2 linked regions of the Rhinolophus ferrumequinum genome follow. The protein of the gene in region 2 interacts with the protein of the main gene of each other region in a pairwise test. Links are inferred from orthologs where the notes say so. Each region holds a gene or a part of one and is shown on either strand. Other genes may lie near its edges.

Region 1 (7,873 bases), on a different chromosome or scaffold from region 2:
GTTGATCTCCAAATGGGAGGAAGTCTTAGCAAATAGAGGGAACCCCTTGAAAGGTCATCTACCCAGCCTTGGCTCTGAGCCACTCCCAGAGAGAATATGTACAGGGAGGACAGGAAGAGGGTGTGGCAGGTGCAACAGGGGGTGTGCATAGGGGTATCTGGGAGTCCTCAGTGCCCAGAAGGGGAACCGGGAACAGTGGTGAACCCCACCTGAGGAAGCCCAGGAATATGAGGGCCTGAGCCAACCCTCACTGCTTTTGTAGCAGCAACTGCAAGTGGTCACGGAGGCCCTGGCAACAAATAGGAAGGAGCAGAGAGAGGCAGTGAGGGGCTCTGGTGCTGTCAGCCTGCACAGCTTCACATCCTCCCCATAGAGGCCCGGAAATCACCCTCCAGGCCCCTAAGCCACCTCCTATTCCTCTGGGGCAGGAAGAGGAAGTAAATGTAAAGTCATTCTCTCTTCCCCAAGCCCGGGGCAACCCCCTCCAGGAAGGCCTCCAGGCAGCCACCTAGCACCCTGGGGTCCAGCAGGGATGACATAGCGCTTGGGGAGAGGCCTGAGCCCTGGAGGGTCCACCACAGCCCATGGTAGGGAGAGGGCAGTAGGAACGGAAGCGGACAGCCCCTACTTCACCCTTATTTTCACAGAAAGTAAACACCAGTCCAAAGATGTAGAAAGAAGGTGCAGGGCACAGGGAAAGGAGGTGGCAGAACCGGGGGCAGGATCCCAGCTCCCTGTAAAGCCCCCCTCCCTCCAGTCTCCAACTTTTGGAGCTTCTCTCATTTGGAAACAACTTCTCGCAGTCTGACCTCAGTCTCTTCTGCTGCAAACTCAACCTATCAATCCCTCTGTCCTTAGAGGGAGTGAGGAATGGGGGATGCCAACGGCTCAGGACACCACAGCCACTCCCTCCCTTCTGCCAGGGAAGGACAAGGCCTGGAACCCAGGGGCAGTAGCCAAGGGCTCAGAATACAACTGCTCCCTTCCCCTCTGCCACAAATAGCTTCCAAAGCAGGATTCATGGTCCAGTAATCCAGGAGAAGCAAACCTCAGACCTATGTGATTAGGGTCAGAAGAGACCAAGAGGTGCCAGGGTGGAAAGCTCTGGCACCCTGTTCTCAATTTCTACAGAGGAAAGGGCTCCTATGAAACCCCTTCCCCTATTCACCACCCACAGATATCCATCTTTAAGGGTTATGAATTTCCTCCAAATTAGGAAATATATGGTGGTATGTCGGCTAGAACTCCCCATATTTGCAAAATAACCTCTAAAGTGACCTAGGACCTGGATAGGTTGTCCTAACCCCCAGATATCCTATAAGGAAGTTCTGCCCCAGAGCTAACCTGAATCCTAAATGCTGCTGTTGACAATTACAGCCTAACTGGCACCAACATTAGACTGGTCCAGGCCCCCTCCCCCTACCCGTGTCTGCTTGGGCAAGGCAGCTCAACACTCTGGGGGCCCAGCCAAGAATGGCGGCTGCCTAGCTCAGAGAGGAGGGAGAAGTTGGTCCCCCAGAGACCCAGATGTACAGGCCTAGCCCTGCCATCATGGTCCCTTCCATGGTTCTGTCTGGCAGCCCTGGGCTCTGCTGCTCTTGCAGCTCCAGAGCTCAAGTCTACTCTAGCACCCCCACCCCCACAGAGAGGCCCCAAGAGTTGCTCTCACAGAGGGAGCCAGGACAGGGTCACTGATGAATGAGGCCAAGGTAGAGAGCCACTGCCTCTCCAAATGCTTTCTGTTCTTTGAGGCTCAGCCACCACCTCTGCCATGAGGCTTCCCAGTCCTTGTTCCCTGACGATGCTGACCGCCTCTCCTGCCCTGAATGCCCAGTTGTCTGCTTCCAGGCAGCAGCCATGAACAGTCCTGTGGGGCCTTCAGTATTACTCATAAAAGAGCCCTATTTACAGAGCATGCACAGCATGCCAGGCACTGTGCAATAATCAGAATTTATTTTCACAGTAGCTCTATAAGGTAGGTGTCATTATCCCCATTTTACAGATGAACATGTTCAGAGAGGTGAAGTAACTTGCCCAAGGTCACACAGCTAATTACATGGCAAAGCTGGGACTTCAACCCAGGCAGTCCAGCTCAGAAACTCAACCACAGTGGAGACCTTCTAGGCCTCCTGGAAGGGGACAGGCCCTAGTCCAGGCTAAGGCGGGCATTAACCCACTCCCTTGAGAGGGCCCAGAGCCAACTCAATGAAGATTCCTGCTCAGGTCCTTTCTTGGGGAGGGAGATGGCCCCAAACTTCCTGGGGGATCCAGGGTGAGGGCATTAACGGTCAGAGAGACCTAAGGGTTTTAATGTAACTCAGCCTCCTCCTAGCCTCCAGGGTGGGGAATGGGGACAGACTGCACTCAGCGCCCCTCCTCGTTACTGCAGAGAAAGGCCTCAAAGGGCTCTGAAAACTCCATGGGGAAAGGGTCACAGTTGCAGCTGCTGCCCCACCTCCACCACGAGAAAGAGGGATGGACTCCTCAAAAATGAGCGGGGTGGAAATAAATCACTAAAGGAGGGGCACAGGAGATCGGGGGAAGAGGGGACATGGAGATCTCAGGCTTGGAGGCAAGAGGGTAGGGGACACAGACGAGGGTACCCCGGTGGGGGAGGGGAGGCAGGGGGAGGGCGGGAAGGGGGGCGGGGGCCGGGGCTTCGCGCGCCGCGCCGGCCCCCTCCTTCCCGCGGGCGGCGCTCCCTCGCCGGTGCTCACCGCCGGTGATCCGCTGCAGCCCTAGCACGTCCTCCGGCCCGATCGTCTGCTTCCTCTGCAGCGGCCCCAGCCTGGGCCCCGGGCCTGCCTCCGGTTCTGACTCGGACCCGGATTCGGATTCCGCCTGCGGCCGCGGGTCGGGCTTGGGCTCCACGCTCAGGCCCGAGGCCCCCGGAGTGGGCTCCGCCCCCGTCCCGGACCCGCCGCCGCCCTTCTTCACCTTCATGGCCTCGCGGGGCCGCGGCTCGCCTGCTGCCGCCGCCGCTGCCTGCGCCGGCTGGAGCGGAGAAGGGGGAGCGTCCGCAGCCCCACCCCCGGCCGGAGCCCCAGGTACCGCCCCGCCCCGCCCCTGGCCCCGCCCACCGCCAGCCCACCCCAGCTGAAAAGCTGCGGGCGCACTGACCTGGGGTAGTCACCCTGCGTAGGGTGAGGGCTCGCTCTGGGCTTCATTCATTTTTTTCAAGGGGTCCTGGCTACCTCTTCTGTGCTCTGGCCACTCTGCCCCGCAAGCGAGTTCGCATCTCAGGGTCTTCTCCTGGGATGCTCTTCCCCACCCTGTCCTAGTCTCAGCTCAAATGTCACTTGCTCAAAGGCTCCGCCTCACACCCAATCTAAAGGACTAACCCCAGTCACTATCTGATCAGCCTGTTTTTCCTTTTTAATGCATTATCTGAAATTAGTTTTACTTGTTCACGACTCTGCCCCCTAAAAGATCAGTTCTGGGAAAGCAGGGATCCTATGTGTTCTCTATAATATCCCAGCACCTCGCACAGTGCCTGTTGCAGCCCTTGCTCAATATATTCTTTTTTTCCATTTGTGAATGAGTTAGTATCTGAGGGCTTCCACTGGTACAAGCTATTCTCTCCCAGACTCTGCGCTAAAAAGCAGAACTGGATGTTAGCAGCCTCGCTGGGCAAACCAGGACATGCTGAGGGACAACCGCCTCGGTGTCTAAGCCACCACAGGGTCCCCAGGACAGGGAGGCAGGAAGGGCACATGCCAGGTGGAAGCAGGGTGGACCTGTGAGCCCAGGAGGACAGATGCTAGGAAACCACTGCTTACACATGAATAAAGAACAAAAGGTAAGTACCAATTCACATTCAGTGTTTATTGAGAGCCTGGAATATGCCAGACATTTTCAAATGCTTATCACATTTAATCCTCACAACCACCTTGTAAGAGAGGTATCATTAGTGCTGTTTTAACAAATGAAAAACTGAGGCTCAGAGAGATTAAGTAGCTTATTCAAAGCTCCCCAGATGACAAGTGCAGAAGCAAGGATTTGAATTCAGGCATATTTGATCCCAAGTCTAGAACTTTCTCCACTGCATCACACTGCCTCTATGAAAGGGGGAAGGGAACCTCTACCACACACACAGCACCAGGCTGTACCCAACAGGAGTAGCTAGCCAGGAGGGAGGAGAGTAAGGGAGAAGCGGCTGGAGGTGACCTGTACCTGGCTCCTTCCATGAGAGCAGAGCTAGGGCTCTCCCTGAGGGGTCACAGAGAAGTGTGGCGGGGAGGGGCTAGAGACCAACCTAGGTTTTCCCCTAATGCTCCCTGTCAGTGCAAGAGGACTCTGAGGACCAGGGCAGAGCACAAGCTGCCGCTGCCCCAGAGGGAGATAGAAAAGGGCCTTCAGGTTCAAGCCAGGTAAGGAGACCCAGATGATACGTCTTGTGAGGATGGGGGTGGGGACACATGAGCCAGAAGAATGGAAAGGGAAGGGAAGATGAACCCATCTTCGAGTGTTATATTTTGGTTGCTGGAGAGGCAACAGAGGAGGCTGGGAAGAGTCATTCATGGCAGGCCCCTCAGTCTAACAGCTCCCGCCTTGGCCAGAAGGAAAGGCTTCCTACTGAGATGCTGCCCTGCTCAGTCTGTCTTCTCGGGCTTTTTCCAGGACTTGCGGGTCTCCAGGAAGATCTTGACCAGAGACAGGAGGATGGGCACAGCCATAGGCAGGAAGAGCGGGATGTAGATGGCAAACTTCTGGTCATCAGGGAAATAGAGGAGGTGGAGAAGGGATGGATCAAAAAAGGCACGCTCTGAGGACGTCACAGCTTCCTGGCTGGCAACGAAGGCAGAGGCCAGATGCCCAGAGGCCAACTCCTCCGCTGCCTTCTGGACTGCAGCTACAGCCTTGTACACCTAGGAGGGGGCAGGGGATTACCAATTAGTCCGAGGCATTGGAGAAGCGGAGTGCGGGGTGATGGGCCTTACCGTGTCTTCCATCTAGCAGACAGGTTGCCTGGAACTCGCCCAGGATATACGGAGGCCAGTATAACAGGGTTATGGTGTATTTTCTGAGTGCCTGCTTAAAACCTCACCCCACCACCCCCTCTGGACTCCTGCAGAGGGGCTGGCACTGCCCTCTAGAGGAAGCCTGGGACATTCAAGGCTGGCATGCCCACACATACCCTGGACTTGAACGGGCCTGTTTCACCACACCCTGGCCACCCCAATCCTGGGCCACAGACTCCATCCCTGGCCCGCTTACCTCAGATGCCACATCGTCCTTGATGACAATGTTGCTGATCTTGCCCAGAAGCTGGGCCAGGGAAGTAAGAGTGGTGGTGGCTGTGGCCAGGTTCTCCACTGACCGAGCCCAGAGCAGCCGGTCTAGCTCCCAGGCCATGAGCCCTTCACTCTGAGGCCCGGAAAACAGGCATTTTGGAGGCACCTGGGGCTGAGCAATCCCAAAGAGCAGCCTGTAGGAACAGTGAAGTCAAGTCAAAGGGGCTGAGACTAGGAGGTGGAAGAATGACTAAGACTCCTACAAAAACCACAAAGATTTCCAATCTTATCCAGACCCACAGGGGTTTAGGGAAGTACTTTAGGGTCTTGGGGAGTAAGTGGCAACACTAAGCAATCCAGTGCCCAAGCCCTGCTTTAACCAGTATTTCAGCTTTTACCTGTTTCTATATTGGATTTCCAAGATCTTGTTTGACAAAAGATTCCATGGCTAAAACATTTTTGATAACACCAACATGGTTTAATCCCCTCTCACCCTGTCTACCCTCTCTTCGGACAACTAGGGCCAATAGAGCCTTAGTTAAGCGATGATCCAGGACCACCTCTGACAAGACATACGTGCTGCGTCTCTCCCATCCTGCACCCAGAGCAGACGTTGCTAATCAATCAGAATCCTCTTTCCTGATGAGCTCAGACACAGCCATACAATCCTCAACATAGGGGATCAGGCAGCTGACACAAGAATTAACAGCTCTTTTCTTAAGCACCCCTAATCACACTCCCTGACATTCATGAGTCTATTTTTCTTCAAGCAGTTTTTGTCAGCAACTAGTTCTTAGGAGGATGAAGTGATTCTGGAAAACCTTTCTTGGTTTCCTCGGGCTCTAGGCAGAGCCAACGTCTCTCTGCTAGGTGAGATGTCATTCCAGTCAGCCCAGGAGACTGTGGTAGGGTCAGGGGCCAGGCCCCCAAGGGGATCACCCAGGACCTCACCGCAACTGAGCAAGGAACACCTCCATCACACGCACTATGTCCACCTCAACTTTCACCGGCAGCTCCGAGGCATTGTAGGCTTTGGGGTCCACGTTGTACACCTGCAACAGGAAATGAGGTGGCCTCAGTGTCACACCGTGTACAGCTCTGCCCTGTACGCTCTGGAGGCCATGAGAGAAAAGGAAGATATAGTCTGTGCTCTTTAGAAGTGACAAACCTGACGGTATACTACTATTATTTGAATACCGATTAGGAGCGTTCCATAAATGATCTCCATTACCCACTCAAAAGTCCTGTAAAAGAGGTCATTTTATTCCATTTTAGAGTTCCTACCCTTGAGAAACTTCCAGTCTAACAGGGCAGACGAAGTTTCCAGCCTTGCAAGACTCCCACAAATAGGGCCAAGATCTATGATGTACACAGAAGGGTCCTCCGTAAGTGCAAACTGCTTAAGGGTCATTAGAGAAATACTGACGAAAGCAGCAGCAGTGGGGCTGGCCGAGGAGGGGCACAGCTCACAGCACCCTCACCTCGTAGGTGCCCTGCCTCTCCCCAGGCTAGGCCACGGAGGACACCAGAGGAATGACAGGAGAATAATCTCAGGGAATATGTGTCTGTCCCTGGAGCTTGGGCTCTGGGTCTGCATTGTGACTATTACCATAATGCCGCCCCAGCGGGGGCTGTGAAAAGCGTTGGTGGCCACTGGAGCCCCGTCCTTGTCCTGAATGTACAGAGGGGAGTGGGCAAGCTCAGGTACATAGAGCAGAAAGTTGAGCACAGGGTAAAGGGAGGCAGCGCTGGATCCTGTGGTACAAAGAGAAGGGGAGTCAGAACATCAAAACATGTTGGATCTAGATCTTCGTTTCAGGTCGGCCTCTACCTGGCTGGTCACTCACGCTGGACCTCATTCTCCCCAGCTGATAATCACTAGGCTATCCTCCACTCCTGAGTTTCGGTGGCAAAGAATCTCTGAACATTCTCCCAAGATGTACCACATACATGAATTTAGCCCCCAAATGCCCCTGGAATCTCCTCTCCTCTAACAGGCCCCCCTTACCTGTCTGAGACAGCTCTGCTGGCCCTGCCGCATTGCACCCGTATTACTATAACTCTTTTTATGCACAAGTATAAATGTGACCTCATGTCAGTTCCCTGCTTAATATCCTTCAATGGCTAGCCATTTATACCAGGTTCTAGCTCCTTAACGTGGTCCTTTCTGATCTGGCGCCCACCTGCCAGGCCAGCAGCATCTCGGTCACTGTCACAGTTCAACCACACTACACTTCTGGGCCCAGTTCTCTTGTCTGAAATGCCCTTTTACCTCTGTACTCAGCACTGCCACAAAGCAGTCCCTCAGACTTTGCTGAATGAATGAGGAAGGGAGAGACGGAGGGAGGGAGGGACAGAGGGAGGGAATGAGGGAGGGAGGGATAGAGGGAGGGAAGGAGAGGAGAAGGAAGGAAGGGAGGAAGGGAGAGAGGGAGGGAGGGAGGAAGGAAAGAAGGAAGGGAGGAAGGCAGGAAGGAAAGGAGGGAGGAAGGAAAGAAGGAAGGAAGGAAGGAAAGAAAGAAGGAAGGAAGGGAGGGAGGCAGGCAGGAAGGAAGGAAGGAAGGGAGGAAGGAAGGAAGGAAGGGAGGGAGGGAGGAAGGAAAGAAGGAAGGAAGGAAAGAAAGAAGGAAGGAACTTGC
Region 2 (7,395 bases):
ATTATCATTATCTCCCTGAACTGAAATCAATAAAAACCCTACCTTAAATATTAAGGCACTATCCCTGTCCCTCAACTTATCTGTCACCTCTCATTGAGAATATTTCTTTTCCATTAGGAAATCAACAGCAAGTTCTAAAATCAGGGCTTCATCATTTGTTTTAATGCCACAATCCTATTAAAAGCTGTTAAAAATAGCACCTCTACCTTTCTCTCATTTCTCTTCCTTTCTATTCTCCTCCAAATAACAAAGATTAAGTGATGACATCCAGTCCAAAGAACAATGGACAATACATACACACACAAAGCTTCCTCTTCCAGCTTCCAACAACAACAACTAAGTCTAACACCTGTTAAAAGGAAAAATGAAGGAAAGATGGCACACCATTATTCTTATCAAGTTCATGGACAGGGTGCTTACTCTAGTCCACAAGCTCAGCAAAATCTGAGAGTCAAACTCAGAATGAAAGGAACATTTTTTTTTTTCTGGAAGGCAAGTAAAAATAACTTAGGAATTGATTTGTTTTAAAAATAAGACCCCAAATACAGTCAACAAAAGTGACTTTCATTTTTCAGAAACAGGTTTTTAATAAACACCATATAAAGATTATGTATAAGAAAACAAGTCAATCTGACAGGCAAGAAGGAAGGAATGATGTGTGGCATACCATTTTCTCTGCGAGTAGATAAGCAAAAAGTAAACACAAAAGACAACCTCAAGAGGTTTTGTGTGTGTGTTTTTTCAGTCCAGTTTCAGTAAAAAACTGAACTTAATGTTCAAGGATTTCAAATCTTGTCACAGGGGATACTTGGCACACACAAAAACTGATTTATTTCCTTTAAGATTTTTTTTCCTCACCTCAAAAGACTAGTCAATGATTTTTATGGGGCTGTTTCACTGCACATGTGAATTATTTAAGAGTATAGTTAAAGTGACCAAATAATGATTTTTTTTATACCAACGCAATAGGGCGACAGGGAGGGATAGATATAAAAACAAAAAGGCCATGTCAAATTTGAGGCCCACTGATTTTGACACAAAACTGTTAGTAAATTAACAAAGAAATTTATCTGCTTTTAAGGTAGCCTAAAGTCCCACACACATTCACCCACCCACCCTTAGACTCTCCATCTAGAAATTAATCTGAGTTTTCAATTTTTTTTCTCACTAAATGCTTTAGTGGGTTTGGCACCTCAAAGACAGCTTTATAATGCAATTTGTAAATTTAAAACTCATTCAGTAAATAAAGAAAATACTGTAATAAAATGATCAGAACTACCTGACTCCTTTTTAGGCACTACTTAAGTATCCAAAATTAGTTTTCAATAGTACAGGTAATGCTACCCTTTCCTACTTGGCAATTATCCTCAACAAACTTTGGCTTTAATATGGGCTACTGTAAGAAAATCCATAGTACTGTATTTATAAGACAAGCTACAAAATAATCAGTTATTTAATTTAGAAAATAATCTTTGAAAAATGTTTGGTAACCCTCTTAACCTACAAAGCACTCTGCATTTTAAAACACACAATCAGATAATCCCTTAACTGGCTCCAGGTGTGGGTGGATAATGTCCCTTTATCACCAAAGATAGAGGAAGTTACTGACATCAGCAAATGAACAACAAAACAATTTGAACTCAGAATTTTTTACTCCGCTCCATTCACAAGGTCATGTATTAACTGCAATCAGCACCCTTCCCCACACAATCATCAAACCTTGAAGCTTTAGGAGAAACATTTCCTTCATGTAAAAAGCCCAAATACAAGATAACATGACAAACTACTCCTTGTCCAGCGTCTCTTGATCATGAAAGCATTCAATCTTTCTTAATACAGCGTTAAGTGTAATTCCTAGAAGGCACTGGAAAATCTCTGCCAGGCCAATCTACAGTCGAAAACCGCCTGAATGTGTCGGGCAAGATGACAGGAGGGTAATGTTTTGAACCATCTTTAATATGTATGGCAATAGCGGTTCCGGCTAACAAGGTAAACCTGGTCATTGCATAGGATCGAAAGGAACCAATGTCAAATCAGGATCCCCTTGAACACAAACATGCAGCTCTGGGGGAATATATACTTTCTGCAAGAATATATTCTTTCTGGAACAATACAAGGTGCTTGCATAATTACACACACACACGTCTATTTTTAAAATAATGTTCAGTCCCAACATTGTGCTGACACTTTTTCCATCTAAACTTCTCAGCACAAGCCTGGCCTAAACATGCAACTAACTGGTATCCAATGCATGCACATGGTAAACGAGGCATGCAACCACGACCGTAACGGTGGGGCAATACCTGCCCCTACCCAGTCCTGTTCTGGCCAGGCTGCGATGCAGTTTAGTCCCGTGTACTTTATGGTAATGTGCTTTTAAAACCTCGCCGCGACCGAGGTCATAGCTTTAGAGATCTAATAACAACCAAATGACCGGGGCTGCCGGGCACTTAGTGAGCCATTCTGGTTATGGCTCTTTAATAGTACCTGGAGTTCTGCTAAAGGGAGAGCGGAAAACTCCTGCTTCCCCAGAAAGAAAGTGCTTTGCGGGGAGCACAGGGGGAAGCAAAGAAGTCGATCGCGGGCAGGGGACGCCCGGCCGCCGCGGCCCCATCTCTCCCGCAGCCCCAGCCAGCCCCTCGCCCCGCAGGGAGGCTGATCCGGCTTGCACCTTTACCTGTCAGCTCTACCACCCCTTCCGCCCGCCCCTCCGAATCCCCCGCACAGTTCTAGAGCCGGCTGCGGGAGAAAGAACCCCAAGGCATCCTATCCCAAAGAAAGAAAGCAAAAAGGCTGTTCCTCCAGGCGGGGGACAGTAGGCACATCGGGGTCCGAGAGGCGACACGCCACCCCCTCCCCACACCTACCAGATAATCCATGTACAGAAACGCCTCAGTTATCTGGAGATCAGTCATCCGGCAGCCTAAAGCATCCGGAACGGCTCCGAACCCGGAAAAAAAAGCAGCGTCTCTGGCTGCGAGCGAGCAGTCCCTGAAAAAGCCAGCAACGACGAATATAGCCGAGAGCAGCCGAGTAGCCGAAGATTACACAAGGGGAGCGGCGATTGGCCGGGAGGGCGGGCAGAAGAAAAGGAGAGCGCTTATTGGCTGTGGCGCCTATAAAATGCAGGCCACTGCGGGTGGCAGGAGAGAAGCGCGGGAGCGTCGAGGGCCCTGGTTCCTGTGAAGAGGGCGGAGGGGCGGGAGCTGGGGCGGCGCAGGCGGAAGAGCGAGCAGGGAAGAGCGGAAAATCGGCGGGTGCCGCTGCCTCCGGAGTTCTGTGCTTCCATAGTGTCCTAACTGGGTAGAGCGGAGCAGAGCTGCTCCAGTGCTGGAGAGCGTTAATGTCCCCTCCCACTCCCCACCCCCGGGAGGAAGCTAGAGCCGAAACGCCGGAGGAGTGGTAACCACTGACACTTAGTGTCCCTCTTCGGAGCTATTTCCTGAAGGTTCTGCAGCCTCGAGACGGCCCCACGGGGACCCTCGAAGTGTGTAGGACAGTATGCTGAACTGGCAAGCCTGTGACTCGGGGACGGCCCCTCCCCACCTTCAATTAGATGTGAAACTGAGAAGGCGGACAGCTCCAGCCTGATGTCCCTGGGGTGACAGAGAAGCCCCCGACACGGCCAGAGGTAATCCAGGAGGCTACCTCTAATCAGATTGCCCCTGCAGAATTCGCTCTCCACCACGTGAAAGGCAAAGAAAACCAGCTGGGGAACTTGGTAGAGTTGATTGTAGACCTCCAACACTTGGGAAGAAGAAACTGGTCAGTTAATTGCATGTTTTGAGTCCCAATTACACTGAGCACAAATCATCGGCTCTGAAGAAAATGAGCAATAGAATGAGAAGCTCTCTGAAAAGACCCAAGTTATAAAGTATTTGTGACCCGTTGTCATTGTAAGAGGTAAAAATATCTATGAGCAGGTGCACCTGAGACCTGGTAAAAAAACAAAACAAAAAAAAACTGGGAAATCGGCAGAGATTCCACTATTAAGTTTGGAGCATTAAGTTTGGGGAGGAGGAAAGCTGGATAAGAACACTCAAGGCTCGCTTATTTTATTTATTTATTTATTTATTTATTTATTTATTTATTTATTTATTTATTTATGACAGAGGCTATGAATAACCAATTCAACAACAACAACAATGCCAGCCATATCTATGGTATCAGGCTCAGGTGACTGACGTGCCCCCCCACAGGTTAAGGAGGATGAGGGATTGCTCTCACATATTATTGGGGCTTCCATACAATAACGTTTCAAGAGTGAAACTTGAACTTAAATCTTTCTGAAGCGACTACCTAACTGGTATAAAAGTTGTTTTAGGAGTTGGATTTTTATTTTCCCTCAACTTGGCAGCTTTCTCTTTTGTATCCTCAGGAATGAATTTTTATACAATAAGCTTACCTGGGGCCACCAAAACCGTTCTATTAGATAACAGTGGAATTCACTCTAAATATGTACAAACCAGGAACAGAAGGGAGTGTGGCTGTTCAGTGGGAGCTCCAGGTGGTGAGCCATGAGGTTTTGGGTATCCTATCTCATCTTGCAGCTGAGAAATGAGAATTCCTATGGCTAGAGGGTTTTTTGAAGGAACTTATTAGTACAGAGCTTGATTTTGCTCATCTAATTTACAGACAAGGGATGTGTATAAACATTTCTAAAGAAATTTCAATGAGTTTTTGCCTATGCAGAAGCTAACTAGACTCAATTGCATTATGTCATTAGATCCAATTTTGATTTTTCTTAGCATTCTAGGTCAAACACGTGTAGGTTTAGAAGAGATTTTGACCTGGATTCTGGAGGTGAAGAACTTCCATAAACCAATAGCACAATTGCTTGAAACTAATTGCAGAAGTTAAAATCCTCTCAAACTTGCTAGCAAAAATAATTCAAATAGACAAGGAAACTTGTTTTTGTTTGTTTGTTTGCCTTCTTTCCATGCATAAGCATATTGCAAATAAGATAGAGCTTGAATTAGCAAAGAGACACTTTTTGGCCCATTTTCTTAGTGATAAATGATGTCTTCACGACTGCCAAGTCAGACTCCTCAGAGGCCTGTCAGTTTCTATGCAGGGGAAGAAAATCACCCAGGAGCAGTTGGCTCTGCCCTTCCTTTAAAAGCTAACCTTAGAGAAAGTCCTGAACAGAAGGTCATTAGGCTAAACATGGTCACTCTGCCTTTAGGAATTAGTAAATGGGTCCAAAGCAGAGAGATGGAAAAGTTCCAAAGGCTGCACCATAGTACCCTCCCTGTTCCACACCATTTGCACATTCGTTATAACTGGCACCAAGGAAAACCTTGTGTTTACTGTAATATAATAAAAGAATCATGTATTGCCTTTTGGAAAAGAGTCCTTAGGAAGGAAAACACACACACACACACACACACACACACACACCCCCCAAAACCTGAAGCTTCAGAACTCCCTAAGGAGCACATTCTTCTAATTAGATGTTAATCTTCTGGGATGTTAATATGTCCACTCTTGTGCAGAAGAGGCCAACTTCTAGATTTTGCTGGTATAAATAGATAATACACCACGCATTACATGAAGCTGAAGTCATAAAGTTGGTAGCAATAGCAGTAATCCTCCCAATTTGTGCTTTTAAGAAGAGAGTGTTGAGAGGTGAGAATGCATTCATTCAACCTATCCCACTATATGCCAAGTAACAGACTGCAGTCTTGAATAAACATGATCTCATTAATGTAGTCCGGCCTTTGCTCTCTTCCAGATGCATAAGAAAACATGTATAAACTCATGAGGTAATTGCATTACTATACAAGTTGAGGATAGAGGCCCTCACTGTCGCTTGTCAAAAGCAAGGAGAAATTCTTTCGCCAGTCTATACTCTACAATTCCATAAACAACACTGGAGGAAATTTTTTGTAAAAGTGTTTCTTGTAGGAAACAAAAACAGAAATGCATTTTTGCAACTTGGTCTCCCAAATTCTACCATCCAGAAAAACCAACATGTTAGTGACTATTTCCATTTACTCCTTTTTTGTTGTTCATTTGATACATCATAAATTTGGGAAGAATACTCTCTCTGCTAGTTTTGTATCATGCATGCTGAATATATAAAGTTCACCATATCATGAAAGTCTTCATAAATGTTTAAATGGCTATATAAAGCTCTATTGTATAAATGTGCTATGTTAACAAATCCTGTTATATATTACTGTTATAAATACTGCCGTGAATGGTTGCTTATTAAATTGTTCACATCTCAGTATTCTAGAGAAAATGTCTAGAAATGGAATTACTGGTACAAAGGGTACAATACTTTTAATACTCATTTTGTACTAGTTTATACTCATTTCCCCACCCTGGCCCCAGAGTGCTTATCTTGCCTCATTCTTGCCTTGACTGAATATATTATTCCTTAATTGCTAAGGGATGGAATCTTTCATCAGAGTAACTTTTAAACCATGGACAATGGTTTCAGAAAAAGTGGAGGTGTCAACACACTGAAATCTGCACAGGTCATCAGGTACTTTGTTTGCTCACTTACTGCTCCAATAACCCCTGTGACCTTAAAATTCTCTTCTGAGCCCTTTGCAGGGCCTTGACCTCCCAACATCTGATTTACCCCAGTCCCCTTCCCTATTTCCTAAACCTAAACAAAGTACCACTGTATCTTATAAGATGAACCTCACCAGAGCAGAGTGACCACACATGAAGCTACTAACAGAACTTGGTTCATAAACGGAAGAGATCAGAATGTGATTGGGAGAGCAAGGACTTAACCTACAAAGATAACTCACCTCTTCCAAAATGGATTTACTGGGTCTTGGAATACTAAAGCCAAGATAAGGCATTTAAAATGAATCACCACTGAGAGTGACAAATAATTATACCAGGAAAATATAACTAGACCTCACAAGCAACGACTTGTTCAAGCACCAAATATCAAGAAGCTGTGCAAATCCCTCTCAATATTTCCCAGGATCATTTACTCTCTTAGACACGCTACTGCATTGCTGATTATATTAATATTAGTTTCCTATTGCCACTGTACAAATTACCACCAAGTTAATGTCTTAAATTTATTCTCTTACAGTTCTGCAAGCCAGAAGAAGTCCTGAGTTTTATGGAGCTAAAATCAAGGTGTTAGCAGGCTGGTTCCTTCTGCAGGTCCCAAGGGAGAATTCCTTCCTTGTCTTTTCCAGCTTCTGGTGGCTGTCTGCATTCCTTGGCTTGTGGTCGCATCACTCCAGTCTCTGCCTCTGTGGTCACATGGCCTTCTCCTCGTCTGTAGTCTGTCCTCCTTCTGCCTCCCTCTTATAAGGATAATTGTGATTGCATTTGGGGCCTACCCAGATAATGCTGGATAATCTCACCACCTCAAAATCCTTAATTTGTCACATCTGCAAAGTCACTCGTGCCATATAA

The links.
Region 1: the proteins of ARL15 (region 2) and UNC119 interact in binary tests that used the Homo sapiens proteins (3 or more experiments, as listed by UniProt). The link is inferred for Rhinolophus ferrumequinum from reciprocal best matches to the Homo sapiens genes ARL15 and UNC119.

The regions. Positions count from the first base shown.
Region 1 is NC_046304.1:18,870,488-18,878,360, reverse strand, and holds the start of UNC119 (protein unc-119 homolog A), read right to left. Parts: upstream 3,015-7,873; 5' UTR 2,944-3,014; coding exon 2,718-2,943; intron 1-2,717. Other genes in the region: PIGS (GPI transamidase component PIG-S), read right to left, coding at 4,593-4,868, 5,218-5,428, 6,186-6,286, 6,844-6,989. UniProt on the Homo sapiens protein: Involved in synaptic functions in photoreceptor cells, the signal transduction in immune cells as a Src family kinase activator, endosome recycling, the uptake of bacteria and endocytosis, protein trafficking in sensory neurons and as lipid-binding chaperone with specificity for a diverse subset of myristoylated proteins.
Region 2 is NC_046290.1:33,675,325-33,682,719, forward strand, and holds the start of ARL15 (ADP-ribosylation factor-like protein 15), read right to left. Parts: upstream 3,010-7,395; 5' UTR 2,916-3,009; coding exon 2,868-2,915; intron 1-2,867.